4 linked regions of the Pelodiscus sinensis genome follow. The protein of the gene in region 3 interacts with the protein of the main gene of each other region in a biochemical or structural test. Links are inferred from orthologs where the notes say so. Each region holds a gene or a part of one and is shown on either strand. Other genes may lie near its edges. The genes, in order: macrophage migration inhibitory factor, IKBKB, COPS5 and CUL2.

Evidence for each region.
Region 1: the proteins of COPS5 (region 3) and macrophage migration inhibitory factor form a complex in vitro, tested with the Homo sapiens proteins (2 studies listed by BioGRID). The link is inferred for Pelodiscus sinensis from reciprocal best matches to the Homo sapiens genes COPS5 and MIF.
Region 2: of the proteins of COPS5 (region 3) and IKBKB, one has a biochemical effect on the other in vitro, tested with the Homo sapiens proteins (2 studies listed by BioGRID). The link is inferred for Pelodiscus sinensis from reciprocal best matches to the Homo sapiens genes COPS5 and IKBKB.
Region 4: of the proteins of COPS5 (region 3) and CUL2, one has a biochemical effect on the other in vitro, tested with the Homo sapiens proteins (3 studies listed by BioGRID). The link is inferred for Pelodiscus sinensis from reciprocal best matches to the Homo sapiens genes COPS5 and CUL2.

What each region holds. Positions count from the first base shown.
Region 1 is NC_134725.1:6,004,489-6,011,486, forward strand, and holds the start of macrophage migration inhibitory factor, read left to right. Parts: upstream 1-3,975; 5' UTR 3,976-4,105; coding exon 4,106-4,213; intron 4,214-5,853; coding exon 5,854-6,026; intron 6,027-6,998.
Region 2 is NW_027465860.1:407,408-414,357, forward strand, and holds the start of IKBKB (inhibitor of nuclear factor kappa-B kinase subunit beta), read right to left. Parts: upstream 3,008-6,950; 5' UTR 2,863-3,007; coding exon 2,761-2,862; intron 2,454-2,760; exon of another isoform or gene 2,423-2,453; coding exon 2,328-2,422; exon of another isoform or gene 2,314-2,327; intron 1-2,313.
Region 3 is NC_134712.1:57,851,494-57,858,692, reverse strand, and holds the start of COPS5 (COP9 signalosome complex subunit 5), read right to left. Parts: upstream 3,008-7,199; 5' UTR 2,940-3,007; coding exon 2,788-2,939; intron 2,487-2,787; coding exon 2,252-2,486; intron 1-2,251. UniProt on the Homo sapiens protein: Probable protease subunit of the COP9 signalosome complex (CSN), a complex involved in various cellular and developmental processes.
Region 4 is NC_134712.1:231,951,310-231,959,127, forward strand, and holds the start of CUL2 (cullin-2), read right to left. Parts: upstream 3,014-7,818; 5' UTR 2,855-3,013; intron 1,200-2,854; 5' UTR 1,161-1,199; intron 1-1,160.

The sequences.
Region 1 (6,998 bases), on a different chromosome or scaffold from region 3:
TTCAGCAGCTGCTCCCCCAGCGAAGCAAAGTGATCCTGGGAAGGCAGCAACCGGCATGGGGGCACATGGGGCACATTCAGCACCAGTGTGCATGGCAACTTCCTCCTCCTGTGGGCTGGGGGCCCCTCCAGGGGGGAGGCCACCACTGCGATGTGCTGCCCACAGCTTTGGGACATGCCTTAGGTAGAATCCGCCACCCAGGACAGAGGGGCCAATAATAAAGTGCAGGGCCATGTGCGGGGGAACTGACTGCACACACCTCATGCTGGCCCTGCTTTTCGTGACAGGGCTATATCCACACAGACTTGTGGCTAAAAGCTGTAGAGTGAAGCTATAACCTCCGTCGGCACATTTTAAACTAACGGTAGGGCGACCCTGCGAACCCTGCCTGTATCTGTATTAGCAAAAGTGTGTCCAAAATTGTACTTACACTAAAAAAAACCCATAGTTGTCGGTAGGTAGGTAACTGCTTAGAGGAAAGCAGATCACATCTGCTTCAAAAGGGCAGTATCAGGTCCTAGGATTTGGAATGTGCAGAGACAGCAAATGGACAAACTCCACTCATTTATCCCCCCTCCCGCTTTTCAGCAGCTGAGCAATTTCCAATGACATAGAAGACTGGAATGGAAGCAGGGCCAGCTCTAGTTTTTTGCCACCCCGAGCAAAAAAAATCCCGCCCCCCTTTTTTTGTTGGCTTTTACACGTTTGCACTTTGCAGTGTTTTGTTTGTTTGTTTTCATTTTTGTTGTCCCGGCATTTTAGCCCTATAAATAGCAAATGTAATCTTAATTATTTTTTTTCCATAAATGCAAAAGCACTTCAAGTAAACTCCCTCTCCCCTTTCACTTGCTGCTGGGTCACAACAGCCTTTTCCCTGCCCTGTCCAGCCCCGCCCTATGGACAAGCACCCCTCACTCCCAACCCACCGGGGCAGCAGAGCCAGCACAGAGCCAGAGGGGCAGGGGCAACAGGGGGAGCAAGGGGACTGGGGTGCTGGGGTGCACAGAGCCAGAAGGGTGCAAGGAACAGTGTGGGCATACAGGGGTGGCACAGGGAATGGGAGGCGCAGGGTGCGGGGTGCAGAGGAGGCACAGGGAATGGGATGCAGGGAACGGGAGGGGCAGAGGGATCGGGGTCCAGGAGCAGTGCAGGAAATGGGGGACACAGACCCAGAGGAGTGCAGGGAAAAGGGGCTGCGGGGTACAGAGGTGGCACAGAGCCAGAGAGATGTGGGGACTGGGGTGCAGGGGCAGCGCAGGGAACGGGTGGCGCAGAGCCAGAGGGACGAAGGGAACAGGGAGAACAAAGGGACTGGGGTGCAGGGGAGCAGGGTGCGGGGTGCAGGGGCGGTGTGGGGAACGGGTGGTATGGAGCCAGAGGGGCACGGGGCGGGGCGGGCACAGCGAGCCGGGCAGCCGGCAGGGAGCGGTCTCTCGCCGGCCAAGGGAACTGGGGCCGCCGCAGGACTGGAGCCAGCAGGGAGGGGCAGAGCCTGGCTGTGCCGCGCTCCGCAGCCAGCTCCCGGGGACACACAACCAGAGCCAAGCTCCCTTTTAAATTGTCAGGGCGGGGCGGGGCTGGGCAGTGCCGGGGGATGTCTGCTTACCTGGAAATGTCGCCCCTGGAATTGTGCTGCCCCAAGGATGTGCTTGATTTGCTGGTATCTAGAGCCGGCCCTAAATGTTAATTAGGAGCTTAACCCTTTTGAGGATCTGGACCTAACTGCTTTGCATTGCATTAAAAAAAATGTTGGGTGCGATTCCAGCATCTTAATTTTTTCAATACCTTTCTTCCTGAGATTTATTATTTATTGTTATTATTATTATTATTATAAAATACAGTAGAACCTGAGAATTACAAATACCTCGAGAATGAGCATTCTTTGTAACTCTGAAATGTATGCAGCCCTGAAGAAAAAGTTATGGTAGCTCTTTCAAAAAGGTTACAACTGAATACTAACAATACAGCTTTGAAACTTTACAATGCAGAAGAAAAATGCTGCTTAACTTTTTTTTTGTAAGTTTACATTTAATGCAGTGCTGTATTGTATTTGCTTTTTGTTTATTTTGTTTCTACTGCTGCCTGAGATGTACTTCTGGATCCGAATGAGGTATGTGTTTGACTGGTCAGTTCATAACTCTGGTGTTCATAACTCTGAGTCTCTATTGTATGAGGCCATGCTTAAGTGAGAACAAAAGGCACAGGTCACATTTTATAAAGTATGCTGTGTAACCAAAAATGAATGCTTAAACTCGTGTGTGCATGTGCAACATATACACACTCCAAGTGAGTTACACATGCACATGGGCAGTTTTAGTGAACATGCAAGCCCTATGCATACCTGAAATCCAAAGAGAGGGCCCAACATTGCCTCTCAGTGTGTAGGGGAAACCCGCCAAAGTGGAGAAGAGTACATCCACAGCATCACTCCCGAGAAAGACCATAGATCCTCTCCGTACAAGAACAGCAGCATGGCTAGGGTTCTACTGTTTTGGGGTTGGCAGACCAGGGAAAGTGAGAATATCTGGGGTGCAGTCACTGACTGCAGCACGCTCCTCCCCCTCTTCCCGTATTGCATAAATTCCCAGAAGCAATACCCTTACCTTCCTGCAATCTTTCAGGGAGCTGGAGGTTGGGGAGCAGAGAAGGAGAATGATTTAAGCAATTGCAAGGAATAATAGAGACAGCTCATTTTTCTAAATGGTATTACAAAAACATCTTAAAACATTCACCCGTGTTCTTGACCCAGACGCTGCCTTTCATTATTTATTGTACACTGGTTTTGTGGGTCATTACTTATTATAGGATTATGTATATATTGGCTCTGTCTGTGTGTGTTGTGGCCCTCCATTTATATATATAGTGTGTGTGTGTGTGTGTGTGTGTGTGTGTATTACCCTCCATTTTGTGAGTCATCTGACTAGTGCGAATTGGGGATGACATGCTACCTACCAGTCTGCCTGAGCAGCATTGGGGAAAGCTACGTGCATCTCAGCACGCAGCCCAGCAGAGGGCTCATGTCCCAAGCAGCCTTTGGCTTCTACATAAAGGCAGCTCACTCCTCTTCAGGCACGAGCCAGGATCAGAGCACGTCTGCATAATTCAGTTCCAACAAGAACACAGACTATAGACTAGTGATAGAGATGCAGCCCTGTTAGTCTGGTCTAGCTGAAACAAAAGACAGGACACAATAGAGAAATCGTGGCCACAATCGTTTCCTATGTAAGAGTGAAAAGCAAAAGAGAAGAACTGTAGAACTCATGCCAGCAACACAGACATAAGCCATGGTTTGCATTATGTGATGGGGGTGGGGGGAAGAGAACCAGGCAAACCCAAACACACATGTTTGTATATAAAAAAAGTGCAGAGGGCTACCATTTATTTTGCAAATAAAAGAGCACTTTCTGGGTAGAACTTGCGTGTTTGCCCCCATCCTGCAGACCGGCTTATGGTAGGTGTCACCCCACCATCCATAGTCCCACTGAAATCAGAGGATGGGCGGGACCTATTCACAGCATAAGTCTTTATCTGATATTAGCCTCATACAATGGCTTATCTGAGCCAGGGCCAGTTCTTACAGCGCCCAGCACAACGGGGTCCATAGGAGAGCCTTTGGGTATTCCCGCAATATAAATATGTATATAAATATTTATCAGTATATAAAATACAGAATCTACACATTTCATAGTTACAGGGATATAAATTCTATTGATATAGAATGTATACAGTTATTTAATAAAATAATAATAAAGCAAATGCCTGAGCAAAGGGAGGCATGGGGAGACGCCCGGCAGGAATGACGAGGGGAAACTACACACACTTCACATCCAGCAGGTGCCCCAGGACCGCGCTTGAACGGATTGTGCAGTTGCCAAAATGCGCTGCGGAGAGGGACCCGTGTTTGGGGCGCTGCTGTCCCTTTAAGAATCTGGCCTAGCGCTGATCACATGGGCTGCATTTCGGAGCATCCAGCGAGGGAGGAGGGCAGGGTCTCCGGTTCAGCTCCATTTTGCAGCAGCAGCGGCGGCGGCAGCGGCGGAACGGGTTGCTGCAGGGGCAAAGGGTCCGCATTGCAGACAGGGGCAGTTCTTTGCAAGGCTCCAAGATGCCCATGTTTGTGGTGAACACCAACGTGAGCAAGGACGCGGTGCCGGAGAGCCTGACGGGGGAGCTCACCCAGCAGCTAGCAAAGGCGACCGGCAAGCCTGCCCAGGTGAGTTGCGGAGGCTGTAACTCCATCCCGGCGCTGCAGGTTGCTTGCAGAAAGGGCAAGTCGCAGCGCCGACGGATGCTAGAGTTAGCCGGGAGCCTTGGTGCTGGTCTCCCCGCTAGGGGCTTTCTTTCTCACCCTAGCGGAAACAGAATTGAGTCTCTTGTAACTATTCTCAGTGTAAAGGGGAGATCTCTAATTTCTCTGGACAGCCTTTAGTCCAGCTTGGGTTGTCTGTCTGGGGGAGTGAGGCGAGACGGGGATGGAAGGCCTGCAGCACGTGGAAGCGTGCTTGCATGGCCCCAGGGGGCTGGCTGCTTCTCCGCTGTGGAATAAATGACTGTGCGTCTGACTCATAGGCAGAAGTGACACTACACTGCCTCGTGGACAAGGCCAGGCGCTAGGGGTGCATGGTTTGGGCGGGTTCTCGCATGCTTATCTGCTCGTTAAAGCGAATAAACTATCCCAGTTTGCCATAGAGAGGTGTGCTTGTGGGAGGGAACGGTCCTGTTAAAATGGGTAGGTTCCCATTGCAATGGGTGTATAACCTGGCAAGTAACCTTACTAACCTGGCAAGTTCCTGTCACCAAGTATTTTGCTCTATGAGGTCCACAAAAGCAAGATCAAAATGGGTCTTCGCTATTAAAGAATGGTGTGTACAAAAGACTAATGCTACCTGAGGTCACCATTTTTTGACTGTGTTGCAAGAAAGCCCGATGGGACATTAAAACTTGCCACAGAGGGCAGCAATGGGTAAGAAGGATCGTGACTCAGCTCCAGGCAAAGTTTCATATCCTGTTAAGTCAAGAAAATGTTCCACTAATATCCTGCACATACAGAGGCTTCTCATCCCCAAAGCTCTCAGACACTTTGCAAATATGGGTGTGCATCTTTGGCTTCTCTTAGCAGAGGTATAGAGTAGCCAAGTAGCTTGCCTTAGGTGATACAGTGGCTATTATCTGCTGGAATTTTCTGTGAATGTCCCTTCCATTTCACAGTAATGGGAGCTAAAGCTCTATTAGCATCAGAGTAGACAGCCCATTATTGTTTTGATCACTCTGTTATCCTAACATGCCTGTAAGCAGGCTTAGCAGATGAGGTGGCCATGGGCTTACTCCATGAATTGCAGTCACACTATTTCAGTGGTACTGGTGTAAAATGAGAACCAAAAGGCTGGTGTACCAACAGTCAACACCAGTGAATCTGTGGTAGAGCAAGCAAGAGAACAGAGCCCTCCTGTGCTTAAAGTTTTATAGATTTATGGGAGCAAGCTGATTGGTCAGTGGCTTCTGTAATGTGCCATGTATAGAGGCTAACAATTATAGCCCTACCAATAGCTGAACATTGACTGGCTAGAAAGCAAGTCCTATTGAATATTAGCGTCAATGAAGAGGATTACTAAGTCATTCTTCACAGAATTATTTAAAATTAAGCTGGGGGGCTACATCGCTATGTGTCTGGCAAAGGTACTGTACTATTGCAGTGGATGCTTTAGAAATGTACAATTAAACACCACTTGTGCTTGCCATAGCTAATCCCAGGAAACAAGCCTGCTCTCTGGATTCCAACTAAATACACCTCAGAGGAGAGAGATTGAGGACGGAATATTAACCTCCTCACTAACAGTTGATTTTGTTTCGCAGTACATAGCTGTGCACATTGTAGCAGATCAGCTGATGTCCTTTGGAGGCTCCACGGATCCCTGTGCCCTTTGCAGCCTGCACAGCATTGGCAAGATAGGAGGCCAGCAGAACAAGAACTATACCAAGCTGTTGTGTGACCTGCTCACTAAACAACTGCACATACCTGCAGATAGGTAAGGCTGCACTAGAGTGACATTCAAATTACTGGCTTGCCTAAATTATTTCTTTGGATTCTCTATTATGCTCCCTGGTGGCTGTTGTTTATTAACACCCAAGGGAAAACTCTTATCTATTGTGAATAGAGAGATACAACTTTCAGACTTCACAACAGTCGTGTGCTGGTGCCATGAATTGGCCCCAGATTAATGTGGTTCAGGTGGCTCTCAACCTTTCCAGATTACTGTACCTCTTTAAGGAGTCTCTGGCATACCCGCAAGTGTTCTCACTTAAATACTTGCTTACAAAATCAGACAAAAATAGCTTACTTTCTTATTTTTACCATAGAATTATAAAATACATGAGAATATAAATATTGAATATATATATTTCATCATACAGCCCTATAAACAAGTCATTTTATGAAATTGTAGTGTGTACTGACTTGACTTGTACTTTTTATGCAGTGTATTGTAAAACTACGCAAATATCTAAATGAGTTGATGTATCCCCAGAAGACCTCTGCATACCCCTTGTTGAGAACCACTGGTCTAGTAGGCTACCTATAATCCCAAGTGGCTGGCTGATATAGTATAATCTGAGCCTTGGGAGTTAGGGTTAAATATGATACACAAATGAATAATATTCAGTGCCCTCTTCTTTTTTTTTTTTTTTTTTTTTTTCCTGGCATGAAGGATGATCATTGGGCACCTTGGGGAGTTTGGAGGTAGGCAAGGAGACCCAGAAGAATTCTGCCACTTGACAAGCAGCTGCTGTTCTGTCAGCCAGCAAGGGAGTAGAGCAGCAGTACCCAGTGGCAACCAGGAGGAGCTGCTGCTGCTGCCTATGTGTGAAGAGGCAGGGATTAGTGATGTTAGCGACTAGTTGACTATCCGATAAGCAAATGCTTATCGGGTAGTCAAATAGGAACTCGACTAGTCGCTTCCCCACCCCTTGCTGCTTCTGTCAGAGGCAGCAAGTGGGTGAGC
Region 2 (6,950 bases), on a different chromosome or scaffold from region 3:
CAATGGTTGGGGACCACTGGGGTAAGGAATAGTGTCCCTAGCCTCTGTTTGTCAGAGGATGGAGATGGCTGGCAGGAGAGACGTGGTTTGATCATTATCTGTTCAGTTCACTCCCTCTGGGACACCTGGCATTGTCCACTGTCGGCAGACAGGATACTGGGCTGGATGGACCTTTGGTCTGACCCAGTGTGGCCGTTCTTATCTGAAAGATTACCTGGTTAACCGGTGGGGTCTGGCACACTCCCCCCCCCCCCCCCCCGCTCCAGTCCCACAGGGGGCCCACCATGGACTAAGGATGTCAAATTGCGGTTAATTTACTGGTCGAGTAGTCAATCGAATTTCTATCAACTAGTCAACAGGCACTTCTGCATTCCTACTTTGAAATGTACAAGAGTCCCCAGAGGGGGCCCCTGTGCATTTCAAAGCAGCAGTGCAGCATGGAGTCTGGGGTCCCCCGCTGACCCTGGGCTCCATGCTGCTGATTTGAAATGCCATGCAGAGCCCAGGGTCAGCTGGGAAATCCCCAGCTGACCAAGGGTTCCATCCGGCACTTCCCCAGAACCCAAGGTCAGCCAGGGATCAACTGTGAGGTGCTGCCCCTTGAAGCACCCCCTCTTCCCTCCTCCCTTTTGCTGCGGAAGCAAGGGGGGGGGATCAACTAGTCAACTAACTATCCGATAAGCAAATGCTTATCGGATAATCAACTAGTCTTTAACATCCTTACCGTGGACAGGAGCTGCTCTCATCCAGAGAAACCCCTGTCCACAGGAAGCCCCAGCCCCAAACTTCCTGGGTGGCTGGAGAGTGTAGGCAGTTTTGGGAAGGCCTTTCCTGCATTACGCATGGGTAAGAAGTTGCATGTAACAAGTTTCTTAGCAGATTAGAACTAGCTGTATGCTTTTTATTCATCTGATGAAGGGGGTTTTGCCCATGAAAGCTCATGATACTGTGTATTTTTTGTTAGTCTCTAAAATGCCACAGGATTACTCAATTTTAAAGTTACAGACTAATAGGGCTGCCCCTCTGAGACTTTTCATTTTAATTTAGTAACTTACTTTGATATGTTTTCACTTGCAGCCACTTAGTAAGTACAGAAAGTAGCATGTAAACAAAAGTGTTTTTTTATTATCAGGCCCAGTGTAAATAATTGCTACTTGGGGGGAGCAAACCACTATGTGTATCTCTCTCTCTCTCTCATTGAATAAAGAGGGTTAACATCCTTGTGAGCTTTCACAGAATCCTAGAGCTGGAAGAGACCTCAGGAGGTCATCAAGACCAGCTCCCTGCCCAAGGCAAGCTCAATCCTAACTAAATCAACCCAGCCAGGGCTTTGTCAAGCCAAGACTTAAAAACCACTAGAGATGGAGATTCCACCACCTCCCTAGGGAGCCCATTCCAATGCTTCACCACCCTCCTAGGGAAATAGTTTTTCCCAGCTTTGGGGAGGGATAGCTGGTGGTTTGAGCATTGGCCTGCTAAACCCAGGGTTGTGAGTTCAATCCTTGTAGAGGCCATGTAAGGATTTGGGGCAAATAGTCATCAGTGATGGTACTTGGTCCTGCTGTGAAGGTAGGGGACTGGACTCAATGACCTCCCTTCCAGTTCTAGGAGATAGGCAATCTCCATTAATTTTTTAATATCCCACCTAGACCTCCCACATTGTAACTGGAGGCCATTGCTCCTTGTTCTGTCATCCATCACTACTCTTTGGAACCTCCCTTCAGGAAGTTGAAGGCTGCTATCAAATCCCCCCTTGCTCTTCGCTTCTGCAGACTAAGCTTTCCTTGTGTAAAACTTTTACACTCAGGAAGACAGCTCTATTCGGAGTTTTGATCCCTTTTGGAGTGGTAGTTTCTTGGGTGCTGAGTTGCAGAATTGAGTCCTCCCAGAGCTGACGTGGTTCAGTGTCTGCATTCTTCTGCAGGGGAGCAGTTACCCCAACTCTTTGCCTTGTCGGAAGGAGACGGGAGGATTTGGCCCAGCAGGACAGGGTGGTGGGGAGCCCCAGAGAGCAAGAGGGGGCATCAGTGGCATGATCAGCTCATGGGGACCTATATGAGGGGGACTTCTCTGATCACGCCCCATCACAATAGCATAAGCACCTTTGTTTTCCCACTGTCTCTGCAGAAGCAGCAGCAAATTACTCATCTTTATTTCCAATGAAACAAACAGAAGGGGTAAATAAAAGGCGGCAGCACCGACTCCTAGCAGAACAGATCCCGTCTGGGGAGCAGTCCGTGGAGTCAGACTTCCACTTCCGAGTGCTTGAGAGCGGCTCCCCCGCCCCCCGCCCCCCGCACTCAGACTGCGGGCCGGGGCAGGCTCACCTCTTCATGATCTGTATCTCCAGACACCACCGCTCGCGGTTCCGCAGGCTCAGCTCCTGCCGACACTGTTTGATCGCGATCTGCTCGCCGCTCTCCTGCAGGCAGAGGGGACAGGCCGGGCGGGCGGTGAGAGGCGAGGGGAGGTGCCGCCGCACGGGCGGGGGGCCGGGGATGCCAGGGGCGGCGCGGGGGGGCCGGGGGTGCCGGGGGCGGCGCGGGGGGGCCGGGGATGCCAGGGGCGGCCCGGGGGGGGCCGGGGGTGCCGGGGGCGGCGCGGGGGGGCCGGGGATGCCAGGGGCGGCCCGGGGGGGGGCCGGGGGCGGCGCGGGGGGGGGGCCGGGGGCGGCGCGGGGGGGGGGCCGGGGATGCCGGGGGCGGCCCGGGGGGTGCCGGGGGCGGCCCGGGGGGGCCCGGGGGCCGGCGGGCGCGGTACCTTGTTGTGCCACCGGAGGACGTTGCCGAAGCCGCCCGTGCCGAGCCGCTCCTTCATCTCCCAGGGCCCGCAGGCCGGGCTCTGCAGCGGGGCCCGGCTCATGCTGCGGGGCTGGGGCTGCCCGGCGCTTCCGGCTCGGCGGCCCCGGGAACAGGCCGCGCGCGCCCCTGGCGGCAGCAGGCTCCGGCTCCCCGGGCCCGCGATGCGTCACGTGCCTGGCCCCGCCCCGGCGCCCTCGGCGCGTTCTGGGTCCGCGGGGCAGGCGGCAGCTCGCAGCGCTGCGGCGAGAGCCCGGCCCGCACCGAGCGCTCGCCCCGAACAAGCCTCGCTCCGCCGCCCCGCGGGGCAGGGGGTGGGACTGGCTCTTCCCCGGGACGCTGCTTATGCAGCATCAGGCCCTACTGAACTGGAGGCCTGGGTACCACAGATCATACTGAGCAGGGCCGGTGCGTTGAGTCTCAATGCCTGGATGAGATGATGGTGTAGAGAGGAGGGGTTTAGATTTATTAGGAACTGGGGAAACTTTTGGGATAGGGGGAGCCTATACAGGAAGGATGGGCTCCCCCAAAACCTAGATGGAACCAGATTGCTGGCACTTAACATTAAAAAGTTTGTAGAACAGTTTTTAAACTAAGGGCTGGGGGGAAGCTGACGGTGCAGAAGAGCACATGGATCAGACAGAGACATCGCTTAGGGGAGGGGCTGTTAATAGAGATTCTCTGTGTTCTAGTCAGGAACAGAAGATGGAAGTATGGGTCAGATCAGAAGAACACATCAGGAAATGGCAGACAAAGAGTGACAAATGTTTAAAGTGCTTATACACAAATGCTAGAAGTCTAAATAATAAGGTGATGAACTAGAGTGCATCATTTTAAAGGAGGATATTGATATAATAGGCATCCTGGAAACTTGGTGGAATGAGGACAATCAATGGGACAGTCATACCAGGGTACAAAATATATCGGAAGGACAGAGCAGGTCACCTGGTGGAGGAGCGGCACTATACATGAAAGAAAATGTAGAATCAAATGAAGTAAAAAACTTAAATGAACCAAAATGTTTCATAGAATCTCTATGGCAGTCTTCTTCTTTCGAATGCCGTGGTCAACACTGTATTTCTTCATCAAAGTTGGACGTCCATGCTCTCCAGCCAGTGAACAGAGTCACTGGTTAGATTGTGGAGAGCCTCCAATGAGCCAGTGAATTTTTGCGTTGGGTATTCTGCAACTAGCCAATTAGCCCATCATAAAACGGGATTTTCAGGTCTGTCCTCCACATACTATTCCCTTTCTATCTCAGTCTTCTCTCCTGAGCCACCAGTCTCTCACTCCATCTCTCTTTCTCCCCCCTCCTCCTACTGCCTCCCCCCTCTCTCTCTCAGCTCTCCTCTGTCTCCTGCCTCTCTCTCCGTCTCTCTTTCTCTTCTTCCCCTCTTGCCTCTCACTCTCTTTCTCTTCTCCCCTTGCTACCTCTCATTCTCTCTTCTCCTCCTCCTCCTGCCTCTCACTCTCTCTTTCTTTTCTCTTCCTCCTGCATGGGGAGCACGGAGCCCAAATGGCTGTTTGCGCCACTTGCTCCTGTGAGGCAGCCCAGCTGCCTATGAGCTCCAGCTGCCCCCCTGCACCGTTTCCCTTCACCCCAACACTGATCCTCCAGCCTCCAGTTGTCCTCCACCTCCCCCTCGTTCCCCGAGGAGTAACGGCAGTTCGAATTAGATAGCCTAATTAGGCTAATTAGGCTCTCTAATTCGAACTACCTACTCCATGCCGTGTGTAGCCGCGGGCACGGAGTCCGCACTAAGGGGGATTTAAAAATGGCGATGCCTGGCAAGATGCAGATGAAGCCCAGGATATTTAAATCCCGGGCTTCATTTGCAACTTTGAATGCCTACATTAGCCACTCTAGTTTGAACTAGGGTGGCAGTGTAGACATACCCTAGATTACTATTCATAGAATCATAGAATTGGAAGGGACCTCAAGAGCCAGTCCCCTGCCCTCAGGCAGGACTAAACACTATCTAAATCATCCCTGACAGGTGTCTGTCTAACCTGCTCATAAATATCTCCAGTGGTGGAGATTCCACAACCCCCCTGGGCAATTTATTCCAGTGTTTAGCCACCCTGACAGGTAGGAACTTTTTCCTAATGTCCAACCTAAACCTCCCTTACTGCAATTTAAGCCCCTTGCTTCTTGACCTATCATCAGAGCTCAAGGAGAACAATTTTTCTCCCTCCTCCTTGTAACACCCTTTTAGATACTTGAAAACTGCTCTCATGTTCCCTCTCAGCCTTCTCTTTTCTAAACTAAACAAGCCCAATTCTTTCAGTCTTCCCTCCTAGGTCATGTTCTCTAGACTTTTAATCATTTTTCTTTCTCTTCTCTGGACCCTCTCCAATTTCTCCACATCTTGTTTCCACTGACTGTTAGTGGATGGAAGGGTCTAGCATTGAACATTCTGATCTGAAGCAATTTGAACCAGCTGTTATCATTGCCTTGGCAGCATCCACATTAAATCTTAAAGCACAGCAGTAGCCCCACGTTCTCAGGAATAGGCCCACACGTGGGATCTCCAAGTTCACCAAATGGGTCAGGCTCAACCTGATCTAGATCAGAAGCAGGTATAACCCCCACACTTAGTAAGGTTCACTGTCCCATAGTGGTTCTTAGACCACTTACAGCAAGAGTGAAGAACAAGGGCGCTCTACAACCTAAGCCGAGAGCCCGGTGGTTTTATAGCTCAAATTGTAGACACTAAGGGTATGTCTAAACTACATGCCTCCGTCGACGGAGGCATGTAGATTAGCCAGATCGGCAGAGGGAAATGAAGCCGCGATTAAAATAATCGCGGCTTCATTTAAATTTAAATGGCTGCCCCGCTCTGCCGATCAGCTGTTTGTCGGCAGATCGGGGCAGTCTGGACGCGACGCGCCGACAAAGAAGCCTTTCTTGATCGGCACAGGTATGCCTCGTGAAACCAGGTTTACCTGTGCCGATCAAGAAAGGCTTCTTTGTCGGCGCGGCGCGTCCAGACTGCCCCGATCTGCCAACAAACAGCTGATCGGCAGAGCGGGGCAGCCATTTAAATTTAAATGAAGCTGCAATTATTTTAATCGCGGCTTCATTTCCCTCTGCCGATCTGGCTAATCTACATGCCTCCGTCGACGGAGGCATGTAGTCTAGACACACCCTAAGCTCCTGAGATCCCAGATTCAAATCTGCCTGCTGTCAGTTACAAGTGGGCTTCTTTTAACTTTGTCAGAAATCTCATTGTCTTCCATCATCTCTTTGGCTTGTGCTCGCCAAGTAGGATAATCTTCTCCATTGTCAGCTTCTGCTGTCCAAGGAGATAGTGAATTCCAAATGGTACCAATGCCATTTGAGGTACAGCCTAGGAGCCAGCTACCCGATCAACACCTAGAGTGAAAGTGCAAATGCCTAAGATATTAATGGGAAAATATGTCTACGGGGATGGAAGTGGCAGAGTGGATTTTCTCAGGAGGGATGGGTCCAACCTGCAGGCTCAGGAGAGAGCACATTACTGTAACTTTGCATTTCCTCTGACATACAATGGGCTGGAAATTCCCCAAGGAGTGTAAGATTTACTAATTATTTACCAGACATTTCAGCAATCTGGTATGACCCTTGTCCAAAGCGCCTTTTAATAGCCTGATATGTTGTTCCCTTCTGGACACTAGGGATGTGAACGTGTAGACACACAGGTTCTTTACTGAGAATGGATACATTCCACAGACCCAAAATACTCCGTCCCAACCAGAGAAGGTTCTGAGAGACACTCTTTATGGAAGGCAGTGAGGGCCCACTGGGCCCAGCACATCTCAGGGTCAGACCTTTGCAAATTTAAGATTCACATTTCACTTGAACAGGAGTCAGGAAATTCACACTTAAGGTTCCAGTATCAACAGGAACATGGCCCCCTTGTTTGTATGTATTACAAAAGCCTCTTTAAAGAACACACAACACTGGGCAATGGGCCCTGTCAGCTGACAAGAAACAGCATAATACAAAGGAAATTTCTATAAAGGAAACTGAAAATATGCAAGGTCGTAATCAGAGCCGGCCCAAGCTATGGGCAGACCGGGCCCTAGCCCAGGGCATGTGATTGTAAGGGGCACCGCGCGGTGCTGCCAGGCCAGCCGGGGGCAGGGGCGGGGCCCCGGGCACAATTATAA
Region 3 (7,199 bases):
GTTTAGGCACCAATTTTAAACAAACAGAATCAGGCTTAAAACCAAAGAATCTTTTTACAGTAAAACTCCAATTGTCCGGCATTCAGTGGTCCGGCACCAACTGGAACCTGGAAGTGCAAGTGCTCCGGCCAGCCGGACAATTGAAGCTACTGGCATGGAATGGGGCGGCGAGGGGCCAACCCTCCACCATTTTGCAGGAAGGAGGGGGAAGCCCCACACCACCGCCGAGAGTTTCTGGGAGGGGAATGGGCTCCCCACCCCCCAGACTGCAGTAGTTATCGCCGAGCAGGGGAGCGAGGGGCGGCGCTGCGGGACCAACCTAGCAGCACCCCAGATGCTCTGCTCCACTGCTTGCCAGTTTCAGCCGCTTCCCCAAGTCTGCTGCTGCTGAAACTGACGAGTGGCAGAGCAAAGCAGCTGGGGTGCTGCCAGGTTGGTCCCACAGCGCCGCCCCTCACTTCGCTGCTCGGCAGCACTCCAGCTGCTCTGCTCTGCCACTTGTCTGCTGCTCATTAATTTCATAAGGAGCAGTGGCGGACTTGGGGAAGCGGCGGGGCGGAGCAGAGCAGCTGGGGTGCTGCCAGGCACTGTGCAGGGGGTAAGGGGCGGTACTGTGGGACCAACCCAGCAGCACCCCAGCTGCTCTATTTCGCCGCTTTCTCAAGTCCGCCACTGCCGCTGCTGAAACTGATGAGCGGTGGACAAGCGGCAGAGCAGAGCAGCAGGGGTGCTGTGGGTTGGTCCCGCAGCACCGACCCTCACCCCTCTGCTCAGCGATAACTACTGCAGTCTGGAGGGTGGGGAGCCCGCTCCCCTCCCAGAAACTCTCGGCAGCGGTGTGGGGCTTCCCCCACCTTCCTGCAAAATGGCAGAGGGCTCGCCCCTCGCCGTGCTATTCCCTGCCCACCCCCCAGACACAGTGCGGGTCCTGGCAGACCCGTCACAGCCCCCCGCCGGAGTACCTCCCGATACTCCCGCATATCCAATAATCTGGCACCACCTAGGTCTCAAAGGTGCTGGATTATTGGAAGTCTACTGTACTTGCTTTACAGTTTAAATGCTTAATAGGTACAGCTAGAACAGATCACTATACATCATTAAATTATTTCAACAAAGAATAATATTTGTGGTCTTATTAACCCTACAGAAACAACGAGGACTCCTGTGGCACCTTATAGACTAACTGAAGTGTAGGAGCATAAGCGTTCGTGGACAAAGACCCACTTCGGCTACTTGATTAGTTGATTAATTGAAATTTAACATCTCTACTGTGTACAGTATTAAATTTATTAAAACTCATACTGTGTATATTAGAGACACACATTGCCTTTTGCCTGCTGGAAAAACATATCCTGGAACCTAACCTGCATTTTCATTAATTCTTATGGGAAAATTAGCTTTGCTTAACGTAGAGTTATATTCCTGAAAAATATTAAGTGAGGAGTTACTGTACATTATAATCTATTCCAACTCATAATTTATATTGAAATCTATAAGTAATCCAGCTGTAAATACAGCAGCAATTCTTATTCCCTAACCCTGCAACCTGAGTTTCACCATTAAATTTAGGAGAACTTTGCACAAATGAAACAAGTGTCTCTAATTGTATTAGATATAGTTAATGAAATACAAAAATTCAACTATAGATAGAGGAACTATTTGAACCTGGAAACATGTATGGGATGTACTGCTCATTCTGCACTACATCACTATCAAGATTGCAGTGTGAGGTTAATATAAAATAAGTATATGATGTAGTAGGTAAATATAATAGAAAGTTCCAGCTTGGAACTTTTTATTATATTTACCTACTACATGTTCGCAAGTTTCATCAGAGATTAAAGCACCAATTCTGTCTGCACTAAACCCATTGGAGGATTAGGGCCTACATGTGAATGGAAGTCTATATGGAAAGGCAGGGGGTAGAGGAAAGAACTATTTCAGTTATGTTTCATGCAAACATTCTGTATAATGTTCATATCTTCTAAAGTACAATTACTGGTAGTTGCCAATGCTGTCTATATACTCCGTGATTTATATTTTTTCTTCTCAAAGGAGATTTAGGGTTTCTTTTGATGGAAAATAAGGGGGGGGGGAAGAAGAGAGAGTGAATGTGTGTGTAAATGAAGCCAACTATACATATTATGTATAACTGCTATAGCTGTGAAATACAAAGATTTCATGCTTGACACTGAGTTGTTATTACAGCACCAATAGCCTATCTTCTGGCACAACGGATCTCTTTATTTACCTGTTTTGCATTTTCAATATATGCAGCCATATATTCATATGCAGCAGCCTGAGCATTGACTCGGGTTTCAGTGCCTTCTACAGGTAAAGCGAAGCTGTCCATGATAATCATAGTTTCCCCATCCACTTTCCCAAGCATCAGCCCCATTACTTCCAGATTGCCTCCAGACCGGGCGTGCATGACCATCTTCAGCAGGGCCAGAGCCGAAATCTTGCAGTATCTGAAGTAGTGGTTGCTACAGAAAAGAGCGGAGAGATATTAATGAGAGGACAGGTACATGACCAGGCAGGCAAACACACACAGAGGAAACGTGCACAGTACAGCAAGGGGGGGGGGGGGAGGGAAAGAAGGGAGAAGTAGCTGGGTGGCGTTTATCAACACCTACCCAGGGCCCCTCTTAACCGCCACCCGCCGGAAATGCTGCTGACTTCAGGACCTAAACCACACGGGTGGCCCCGCTGCCTCCCCGGGCTCCATGGGCCCCGCCGCCTCCCCGCCCCCATAGCCCGGAACGCTCCCCCGCGCCCGGCTCTCACTCCTTGGTCCAGGGCTTGGCCGCCAGGATCTCCTGCTGCTGCTTGCGGTCGTACTTGTAAATCTCGTCGATGCTTTGCGCCTCCTGCATGTTGTTGGCCAGTTCCCAGCTCTTCTGCGCCATCCCGCTCCCGGAGGTGCCGGCCGCCGCCATCCCCCAGCCGCCCGGCCCGACCCGGCCGCCGCGCAAACCAAGTGTCGGGCGCGAGAAGGGGGGAGCCAAGGCTTGGAATGTCCCGATAGAAACTGGGGGAGGGTTGGGAATGGTACAGTCCGCAAAGCCTGAAACCTCCTGGGCAGCGCGCCCCCTAGAGGCCAGTCTTAGAAGTACCGCCCTACTCAGAACCATGCCCGGCTGACAGCGGGGCCATGGATAAGCAACGCACATGCGTAACACAGACCACGCTCAGCTAGCTGTGCAGGTGATCTCAGTAGTTGCGCACGCAACAACTTAGGGATGTCGCAGTGTGGAAATGAACAGATGGTCAAGCGTTGCTAGTTCTCACAATGTAATCCTGGGTCTCCTGATGTTTGGTTTCTTAGGTAAATCTTCAGCTCCTGAAATGGGAGGACACGAGAAGCTCAACTTCATTTTTAAAAAGTCTGTCCTAGCCATCTTGGTTAGGATTGCTGATTTTCTGCAAAACGGAATAGCCTTACTCTACCCCCTACTCCTTTTCCAAGGCCCTGCCCTTGCTCTCTGCATCCCTCCTTTCTCTGTTGCTTGCTTTCTTCACCCTCATTCACTCTTTTTCACAAGGCTGGCCCAGTGATTGAAGTGTAGGAGGGGATGTGGGCTCTAGGGTGGGACCAGGGATGAAGTGTTTGGGGTGCAAGAGGGAACTCTAGTGTGTGGGGTGGAGCCAAGGGATTAGGCATATGGAAGGGAGTTCTGGGCTGAAGCAGTGGGCTGGGGTGTAGGATGTGGCACAGATTTTGGACTGGGGGTGTGGGTTCTGGGGAGGGGCAGAAATGAGGGGTTCAAAATGTAGGATGGAACTGGAGACTGGGAGTTGGGAGCTGGTGTGCAGTGGGGAGCTGGTTTTTAAGCTTACTCTCCAGGCATGCCAGTTCCCAAGGAGCCACCTTTCCCTCCTCGCTAATACAGAGGCAGCAGTGGAGGGGGGGGAGGGGAAAGGGGGAAGGAAGAAGGAGACAGAAGCCAGCATGTGTGGGGAGCTGGCTTAAAAGCACCAGCTGCCACACGTTTACAAAAATAAATGCATTTTAATATGCCTAGTAATGATCAGGGCTTGACAAATAATACAATCTACTCGACATGGGTGAGTAGATTGTAACCCGGAAGAATTGGGTTTGGGTGATCTGCGGGTTTGGGGGGACAACGCAGCTGGCGAGCAGGGCTCACCGCTGTTCAGCAAACCCTGGTAATGACTATGTCTGTAAAGCAAGGGTGGGCAAGAGAGCTTCTGTGTGTGGGGGGAAGCACACAAAGTCACCACCGACGGGAGGAGAATTTGCATGCTCCCCCACCTCCACCCCCACCCCCACCGCCTGATTGGCCTGGCAGCAGGAGGAACCCGCAAAGTTTCCTCTGCCTTATCCCTGCCCTGCAAAAAGCACGCAGCACTTATAAGTGTTTATCCATTAGGCACAGTGCCTAGGGCCCATGATACTTTTAGGGGCCCATGAAAATGTTTTAATTTCTTTTAAAATCAGAAGACAAAAATGAACTTTTAGGGTCAAAGAAAATGTTTTAATATTTTTCTCACATCAGAAAAAAATGAAACTTTTAGGGCCCACGAAAATCTATTACATTTTGCCTAAAACAGAAAAAAAATGTTTAAGTATTTAAAGTTATATCAAAATACTTTTTAATATTTTTTTTTTTTTATGGAGGAAGGGGCCCATGAAGGCAAAAGTGCCTAGGGCCCACAAAAGTCATACTGTGGCCCTGGCTCCCAGACCCTGATTGGCCTGAGGGTGGGGGACATGGGAAGTCTCCATCTACCATTGGGCATGGGTGCTTAGTGGGAAGGAGGAACAAAGGGGCTCCTCCACCCCTAGATTAATCATGGAGTATGGGTGGGGAAGCCTGGAAACCATCCTGGCCCCGCCCCTTCCGGAGCGGCCCAGGGCCAGGCGACCCCTGGCAAAAAAACTGTTGCCCACCCGTACTGTAAAGTGTCATGCACAGCTAGATCTTAATCATGTAGTGGAATCCCTGCACATGGTTCTGCTCATGGAAAACCCAAGTTAGGAAAATGGGACATGATGAAAATGCAAATGTCTGGCCCTACACAAGGCCCTATTATTGATTCTGCATCAGTGTGAGAGGTCTGTGCCCCTGCAGAGCTCTACTGATTGCTACAGGGTCATTATATATATATATGGAATGTTTATATTAACAAATTTAAAGTTATGCTTCATATTACACTTATTCCTTTGTCTCACATTTAATGAATTTTTGGGCCCTTGTAATGGGCTATAAGAAGGGAAGAAATGAGAGAGCTGGGAAGGTCTCCATTCTTGATGTCATATGGAAACACTATTTGCAGGGGAAGTAGATTCAGCATAAAGAGTAAAAGTGATGAGAAGTCCTTTGGCACCTTATAGACTGACAGATTTATTGGAGCATAAACTTTTGTGGGCAAAGACCCACTTCCCCGACTACTGCTCTGTATTGTAAGGGACAGGGGAGCTGGTGCGCAAAGATGCTGGCTCAGTCCCTGGTCCTGCTCCCCTGTCCCTTACAATGCATCTGACGAAGTAGGTCTTTGCCCACAAAAGCTTATGCTCCAATAAATCTGTTATTCTATAAGGTCCCACAGGACTCTTGCAGATTCAGACTAACACAGCTAACCCTACTGATAGAAATGTAGCTGTGTTAGTCTTGGGTAGTTGAAGCAAAATGCAGGACAATGTAGCACTTTAAAGACTAACAAGATGGTTTATTAGATGATGAGCTTTCATGGGCCAGACCCACTTCCTCAGATCAAATAGTGGAAGAAAGTAGTCACAACCATATATAACCCTCTGATACTTAGCAAGAAGAGTAGAAGCAGAGAGGCCAATTGACAATAAAATAGTGGCAAAGTTCTCATTCTTGGTTTACACTCCTGCTTTAAAAAAAATCAAACTGCAAACACAGCCCTCCACGTCCTAGGATTTGTGTGTGGGAGAGGGGTAGGAGGAAGATGGCCCTCTGTATGTGATGGTTGGGTACAGTGTCACTTTTGGGAGGGAGAGAATGGGGTCCACTACATGGAGGTATTCGTGACCGTGCAGTATCCTTGTCTGGTTCTACGGTATGTCCTCTGTGTGGTATTTGTTTAGGTCCAGATGGTCACCTGTGTACCGGGTGGGAGGAGAATTGTGCATGAGGATCTCGCGTGCCGGGAGTGGCTCCCTGGCAGGCATCGGGTACGAAACGAGAGACATCCCCGCACATCCACACCGGGAGTCCGGTCCCGGCTCCCGCGCAGCAGGGGGCGCTGTTTGCAGCCGCGGAGGTCTGGCGGCAAGTCTCCGGGGGAGGCGGTAAAGTGAGAGGACGAGGGCGGGAGCTGGAGCTGAAGCTGCCGCCTGCAAACCCGACGGTGAACCGGTGAGTGACGCCGCGGGCTGGCTGCAGCCGTGACAACGGGACCGGGGAACTCAACGGCGGCTGCTGAGGCTAAGGGGTGGGGCGCAGGGAGCCCCCCTCCCGGGAGCGCGGGACGCAATTCTGCCCCGTCACCTGCCCCCTGGGGCGGCCGCTCTGGTCTCCTGCCTGTGTCTGAGGCGCGGACGGGGAGTCGGGGGCTGCGGCCCCCTCGCTGTGAGCCGCCCCGGGATGGGAGAAGCGAGCACCCCAGGGCCTCGCTGCGGGGCGGGGGGACCTGTGCCCCTCCGGTGGCGGCCGGGGGAAAGCGCGGGGGTGTCTGCGCCCCTCCGGGGAACGAAAGGCCTCGCGAGGCAGGGAGGAGGCCGAGGAGGGGGGCGCGCTAGGCCCAGGCTGGAGCCGCAGCAGTTTTTGTTGTAGCCTGGTTGCCTAACAACGCTGAGTAGCGTCTTAAAGAGGCAGAGCCCGAGGCCGCCGCGCTGTGTGCGAGGAACGTGGCCTGACTCGGGCCCGCTCTGGTGTCTCTTTCCCCCTCTCTCTGCGCGGGGCAGCGCCTTGTAACCCTACCCCCCCCCCGCGCTGCTGTTGCTGCTGCCCCCCGGTGCCCGGCGGCGGCGTGTCCCTGGTCGCTCTAATGCGCTATCGGTTTTTCGCAGTTTGTATCTCATTGGCTTGTCTTAATAACCAGGCATTTTTATTTTTCTTTCCTCTCATAAGACACTGTCATGCATCTGTGTAATGCATATTTATTTTCGTAGCGTCTTTCATATAAGCTGTACTGAACTGCTTTACAGAGCTTTATTGTACCGGAGGGGGAGAGGGAAATTAAGAGGAATATAAGCAAAAGAGGAA
Region 4 (7,818 bases), about 170 Mb from region 3:
TGAGCAGCCCCGCCCCCAGGTGCCCGGCAGCCCCAAAACATTGGGGACCACTGATTTATGACAAAGCTGCTCAACTTGAAGGGTACTAGCCCGATAACGTAGGAATTCACTGCATGTGTCAGCACACTCACCTACTAGCTAGTAACCGCTGTTATCTTCTGAAGTATTTACTACTGGCTGAAAAGTACCCTAAGGCTATGTCTACACCTGCGGCTTCTTGCGCGAGTAATATGAAAATGAGGCTAAGCGTGGAATATTGCCGAGCCTCATTTGCATACCTAATGAGCCACCTTCCTCCCCCCTGCCCGAAGAGGCTCTTGTGCAAGAAGGAGCATTTACACTGCCCCTTCTTGCGCAAGAAAAACCCTCTTGCGCAATGCCGTTACACGTATTACTTTTCAGGAATGGCATTGTGCAAGAAATACGTGAAACGGCATTGTGCAAGAGGGTTTTTCTAGCGCAAGAAGGGGCAGTGTAAATGCTCCTTCTTGCACAAGAGCCTCTTCTGAAAAAATGGTTGCTCATTAGGTACGCAAATGAGGCTCGGTGATATTCCACGCTTAGCCTCATTTGCATATTACTCGCGCAAGAAGCCGAAAGTGTAGACATAGCCTAAGTGTGTCCTGTACTTCAGCAAAATCTTGCTTCCCCTCCCCCCACATATGAATGTTTCCTAGCCCAGTGGATTACAGAGTTACATAGGGCTCCTATACAACTTCCAAACAATCTGCGGTCAGCAGGGACTGCTTGAAAGTAACAGAAATAAGGCAATTGACAGTTGACCCAAAATAAAGGTAACATCAGTGCTTCAAAGGGTCAAAAAAAAAAAAAATCTCAGAAGTAGGTATGGTAAAGCCTGTCCTATACAAGGAAGCAAAGATCCAGATATCTTTAAATAAAAGTCAACCCCTTCTGAGTTCCAAACTCAGCCAAGAGCAGGGCACAGGAAAGACTGTACACATTAACTCCCAATACAGAAGTGCATGGGACAAGAGCACCTAACCATCCAACAATACTGTTGAAATTGATAAAATGCTGACAAATGCATAAAATTATAAAAACTAAAACGTTTAATAATCAACATATTTCTACGTGCAAAATCAACCACAGTCAGTGTTTAGATGTATAATATAAAAACCATTACAGAGACGAGAGCATACCTTCACTTAGGATACCGTATTCAGCATTGGCCACTTTCTCTAAAATGGATATAATGGAAATAGATGGTGTTTAGAAGCATGAAAAAAGCTTGCATATAAAAGACTGCAAATATTACATCTGTGTAGTCTGAAGAGGACACAAAGCAGAAAAATGCATTAAGAGACGGTGGACTGGGCATTTCTATTTACCTTCTCACACAAAAACAACTGGAATTTTTAATAAAATTTCAAGGCAACAAATTCTGAACCAAGAGAAAAATATATTTATATTAAAAAAATTGGCTTATGGAACTCATCTTATTAGGATTCTGAGTAGTACTTGACAATTATACAGATGAGAATATCAAGTTAAATCAGGATACTCTCTCTAAAAAGCCATGTTATTACTACTAATACATCATTGTTGTGTGTTAGTATTTTCATTTTAGTAGAAACATTCATCAAGTGTACACTGGGATGTTTAAAGAAAAAGTGTTTTCCACATAGAAGGTTGTTACTGTTAACATGAATTCACACAAATGGCAACAATTTATAATGAATCCCAGGAAAGGAAGAGATTTGAGGCTTATCTATTCCAACGGGAGGATGAACTCCAGTAGAAGAAGCTAGGAAACAAACTACAATAAAGCATGTCTTTGGCAACCAACAAATACAACTAATCTTTACCTAAAAGGATAAAGCACACACTTACACTAGAAAGAGTGGGAACACTTTTTTGATGAGACCTAAGCAGAATTTCTCTGCTCTTTAAGAGTAGCTACAATGTGGACACACTGCACTAATATAAAAAGCAACTTAGACTAGTACAGCTTACTTCAGACCAAGCTGTATCAATGACAAAGATCTACACTTAACTTAAAGAAAAACAATTTTTTTAGCATAAGGTGCTGCAGGACTCCTTGGTGGTTTTGCAGAAACCAACTAACACAGCTACCCCTCTTACATAGCCATTGGTTTTCTTATCCTTTGGTTCCCATCCCCAGATACCCTATTTGAATTAGAGGAACCAGCAAGCGTAGGTTTCACGAACATACAAAGACCCCAATAGTTCTACAGACATATGTTATGTGTTTTTTGCTTTCACAAGGGTGGAGTGCTGGGTGGCAGCCAGGAAAAGAAGTGGGGGGGGGGAGGGGAGAAGGGGACGACCGGGGAGAGTGGGGCACTAAAGTTAGAATATCGAAAATAATTTAATTAGTCAAGTCCAGCAACCAGGGCCCTGAAAATCGCCGAGGAGCAGAACCGAGCAGGGGGAGCAGCCCCTGCCGCCCCACCCACTACAGCTGCGGGTCTCTCACCTCCCTGCCCCTTCGCACCCATATTAGTCACTCACAAAGCAAAAGCGAAACTGGCGCGAGGGGGTAACGCTCCCGGGGCGCGGTGGAGGGGGAGAGATACCGGGGCCTGCGAGGCACAGAGCTCAGGACGGGCGCGGGGAGCCCAACATGGCCGGGACCTCAACCCGGCGGCGCAGCGTGGGGAGAACAAAACCCGTCACGAGGGCGAGAGGATGTGGGGCGCAGGCAGGGCCGGCAGGCGCTCGGCGGCCGCTAACACCCCCCGCCTCCCCGAGGGGCCCGGCCCAGCAGGCCCTGCGCGGGGAGGTCAAGCCCGCTCGGAGCCCGGGGAAGCCCCCGCTCCGCTTCCCCGCGGCGTTCGCTACCGGGCCGGAGGCGCCTGCAGCGCGCGGCTACCTGTCAGCACAGGCCGGATTCAGCGGAGCCGGCCCCCCTCCCTTCGCGTCCTGAGGCTGCAGTCCCTGCCCCGCTCGCCCTCCTCACACCGCTGCCATTCCCCGGCCGCGGCCCCCGTCTCTCCGCCGGCGCCGCCACTGCGCTGCAGACCGCGGGGGGAGGGGCACCTCCCTCACTCCGGCCCCAGCGCGCTCCGGGCCTGCCTGATACTCACCCGCCCCCGCTGCGTGCGCTTCAAATCGCACAACCGGCCACGGCTGGCGCTTGCCCAGTGGCACTAGGCGAACAGCCAGGGCTGGGCGCGATGCACCTCTCCCCCGGCCGGTTTGGTACAGTCCAGACTACGGGTACAGCAGAGGGTCTAAATTCATTCGACTTTTGTTACCGTAAATAACTAATTGAACTCCCCTTAGCGCAGGGCCAGACGGGGCCCGCATGCGCATGCTTCGCGCTACTCGTTCGGATTGATTTCCCTTCTCTGCGGTGCGCATGTGTTACTCACCAGCTTCCACACGCTCTCTGCGCGTGCTCCTTTTTCGGGAAGTCGCTCTAGTGAGTCGATGTGCGCTGCTCGCATTGTATGGCTCGGGGTGGTGTCTTGTAGGGCTACGCGAGTTATACACGCGGGATTCCGCTCGCACCGGTCTCCAGCACCACAGCGCTAGCTCTGCTACGGTCGCTGTACCCGCTTTCCCTCATGCAAGTGCAGCCCATCCTGCAAGCATACACCAGTGCTATGTCCTCCGATACAGCCGCGCCCCACTCTGCATGCCTCCAACCTGTCACCGAATTAAAAGCACAGGAAGAGATTCAGTGCAAGGAAGCCTGAAGCAGTCGCATGTAGGAAAGTCTGTACGCCAGCAAGGTCTCATTCCACGCTCCATTGGAGTCTGATTTCCTTTTGGAGAGGCAGGAGACAGAGCATGCAGCCTTTCAAGATATCTATAAAGCACCTTTTATACATTTACTATTGAGCCCATACTATTACTAGCCTGAGGTACAGTATATTAAAAAAAAGCTCCTATAATTACAAGACAGTTGGAGGTTAGTCACAGGCATCTATATCTCTAAACACATTCATAGTTAACTCCCTTGCTGCCTCCGCTATCAACTCCCCCACAATCTTCTCCCCACCCAGGGACAAAGAAGATGTGTTGAGCCGAGTTAATTAAGGCAAGATGAAGGCCAAGTGAAGGCAAGCCAGTCTGTAATTTCACACAAGCTCACTTTTTCTCTCCCGTGAAGGCAGCACCCAAGTGTGATTACTTGGAGCTCTCACATCGCCACATATTTAATAACAAATATCTCACTACCCATACAGTTCTCACAGCTTGATGTGTTCCTTCCTCCCACTCACTGAGATTTCTCAAAATATTCTGCATAGCTGCCTCTTCTTCAGCTTTCAAGGAAGATATGCAGTGGGAATCAGCAGAGCCCAGCAGAGGTGCCAAACTCCAGAATCTCCAGGAATTACAGATTAATCTTTAATTATAATTTATGTCTCATGATGAAGCCTTCAGGAATACATCAAACCAAAATTAGCAATCCTACCTGCCTGTCACCAGGAACAGTGAAAATTAGTCAGGACATAACTCAGGAGACTGCTATTTTGCATGATGCCTTTATACCATTTGTATAAATTGGTAGAACTGCTAAATTCCACCACAAACCTACCCACATTGGCGCCTCAAAAAGTGTAAACCGATATACATAAAACTAATATGTGCAGAAAGTTATGTATATTCACAGTTGACTTTCTCCATCTGTCCCTTACCTCTTACGCTTCTCCTCTGCTCTTTTCTCATCCTGATAAATCACATCTGTAATATGTCTTCTCCCTCGGAGAGTGAAATAATTTATGAATGGCCTCTTTCAAAGAAGATACCCCACTGCAGTACTTCCTACTTTTCTTCACCCTCCCCAAACAATCCATCAAGCCTTTACTTTCACAGTCTTCAATTCTTACCCCTCAATTTCTTCCTAAATTTAGTTGGGCTCAGGCTCCTCCTTACCAACCTCTGCTAATCTCCCATTCTTCCAGCAGGCTAGGCCATTTTTCTCTAGACACGGTCCAGCCATCTCCCTGTCTCCCTAGAACACTGTTACTCAGAGTACATCTACACAGCAGCATTATTTTGGCATAACTGATGTTATTTTGAAATAACAAAGTGAGCACCTACACAGCAAGCCATTATTTCAAAATAATGTCAAACTGGAGGACTTCTTAGTCTGACTCCTGTAACCCTCATTTTATGAGGAGTAAGGAAAATCAAAGGAAGTGTGTTCTTCCTTTGACTTCTGGCTGTGTAGACAGCACCAAAAGCCAAATTAAGCTATTTTGACTTCAGCTACACAATTGACATAGCTAAAGTTGTGTATCTTAATTCGACTTTACCCTGCACTGTAGACATACCCTCAGTGAGCAAGGTGACTTCTGCTAGTATCTTCCTGGTCATGTAAGGGGACTCTGCAACCCAGCCTCAGATGCAAACCATATGGGAAGTTGTGGGAGACAGTGAGCCCTTTACCTTTTCCAAAGCAACTGAGCATCCTTAGGGTGTGTCTAGACTACATGCCTCCTTCGACGGAGGCATGTAGATTAGCCAGATCGGAAGAGGGAAATGAAGCCGCGATTAAAATAATCGCGGCTTCATTTAAATTTAAATGGCTGCCCCGATCTGCCGATCAGCTGTTTGTCGGCAGATCGGGGGAGTCTGGACGCGATGCCCCGACAAAGAAGCCTTTCTTCATCGACACAGGTAAGCCTGGTTTCACGAGGCTTACCTGTGTCGATGAAGAAAGGCTTCTTTGTCGGGGCATCGCGTCCAGACTCCCCCGATCTGCCGACAAACATCTGATCGGCAGATCGGGGCAGCCATTTAAATTTAAATGAAGCCGCGATTATTTTAATCGCGGCTTCATTTCCCTCTTCCGATCTGGCTAATCTACATGCCTCTGTCGAAGGAGGCATGTAGTCTAGACACACCCTTAGTGTGGAGCTACTGATTATTACCTCAGGATTCAAGTGTGTGACTGCAAGACCAAGGTAATATCCCATTTTTGGAAGGTGGGATTTTCAACTACAGAGAGTTGCAGGCAATGCCAGGCTTTGTCTACTCCTCTTATGTAATGTTTAAACAAAATAAATTTGTTAACAACAGGCATGCTATTCCAGTGTCCCTGTAACCGTTGTTCCATGAGGGATACGGGACTTGTTGGAATAGCAGTTTATTCAGAAATTATGTAAGCAAATTATGTAGCATATTTTGAGGTAAGAGTGTGGTGTAGATGCACCCTAAATGGAAAAGTTGCTTAAGCTAAGTTACATAGTAGTGAACAGTAGCTACTTCTATGTATTGCAGCCTAACAAAGCAATAGAAAATAATGTAAGTGCATGTGTAAAATTGTTCACTTCAGCATTAAGAACTTTAAAAATATTTTCTTCAAACATGGCTTCCTTTTTAAAGTTGTGGTCAGAAAAAATAACTAACAATTACATCTCAACAAGTTTGCTTCCTCTGGTGAGATTTTTTTGTATTTTTTTTCTATTTGAAAGTTCAGACTGACAAGAAAAAAGGACAAGAAAACAGCCAATGACTTTCTGAACCCAGACAAAATAAAAATACATTGTAGCCTTTGCTAATGCAATTGATACCTTGTTTAGAAATGCAGTTTAATTTCTAATTCTCCTTTCATGATGCATATGGAAAGTTTCATCCAGAAAAAATACTGTTTGGTTGCAGCTTAATTAAGTGTTTAAGTTTGACCAAAAGCAGTTTAGCTAATCTTGTATTATATAAGCATGACAGCCCCCATATACACTCATCCCCTTGCACACACTCCACATATGTTATAGTAATTTTTTCACTTGCTTAACTAAAATAATATCTAGAAACTAGAAACCTCTAGTTGATAATCCAGTAGTGGTTATATCCTGAAAAGACATTAAAAATGGCTTAATAATTCTCTCAACAGCTTCCACATCAGGCTTGTTCATTCCATATAACCAGATTGAGTTTTTTGTTTTAAAACAGTAAACTCGATCTTGTATCACAGTTAAGCTGTTCTGGCTGTCATATAACACTACAAGAGTTCTGCAAATGAATCTTGGAGTCTGACCCTGTTCCCCACCGAAGTCTGCTTATTTTCACATGACTCCAGTGGGAGCAGTATTGGGTTCCTTATTAATTCTGATTAGGATATAAGAGTTAACTTAGAACTCAGCTTGTCCTCTCCTAGCTGTATCATCTCCATAGTACTTATAGCAGTAAACCTCATTTTTGTCATTAAAATTAAGGATGTTAAGGATGTAATTGACTATCGAATAGTCGATGCATTTTTGCATTGTCTATTTGATTAGTCAATAGGGTGCCTCCACCTTTGAAGTGTAGCAAGAGCTCTAAGCTGTTGCTACACTTCAAAAGTGAAAGCACCGAAGCCCGGGGTCAGCTGGGGATCTTGGGCTCCACGCAGCGCTGCCACTTTGAAATGCCACGGGGATCCTGGCTCCTCACAGCATTCAAAGTGGCAGCGCCACACAGAGCAGCTGACCCTAGGCTCTGTGCAGGGCTGCTGCTTTGAACTACCTCCCTTCCCAAGTAGCAAGGGTTGGGGAAATGACTAATGAACTATCCTGTTGGTTATCCGATAAGCATTTGCTATCAGATAATCGATTAGTCCTTCACATTCCTAATTAAAGTATGCTGAAATGATTTGGAAATCTGACAGGAACAGTGTTTTCCCCACTAATTAAAATGGGGGAAGGAGGGTGTTTGACTATACAGAAGGGATGAGGGCTGATAAGGAGTGTGGGCCAAGGTGGACTGTATGGAAAAAAAGAAGAAGAAAAAAAACAAAACACTAAACCCAGGAAAAAACAGAAAAAAAATGCACGACCATTTTCTTAGATTTAACTCATGTTTTACAATCATCACAAAAATTAAAGCTAGCTACTGAAGCCTATT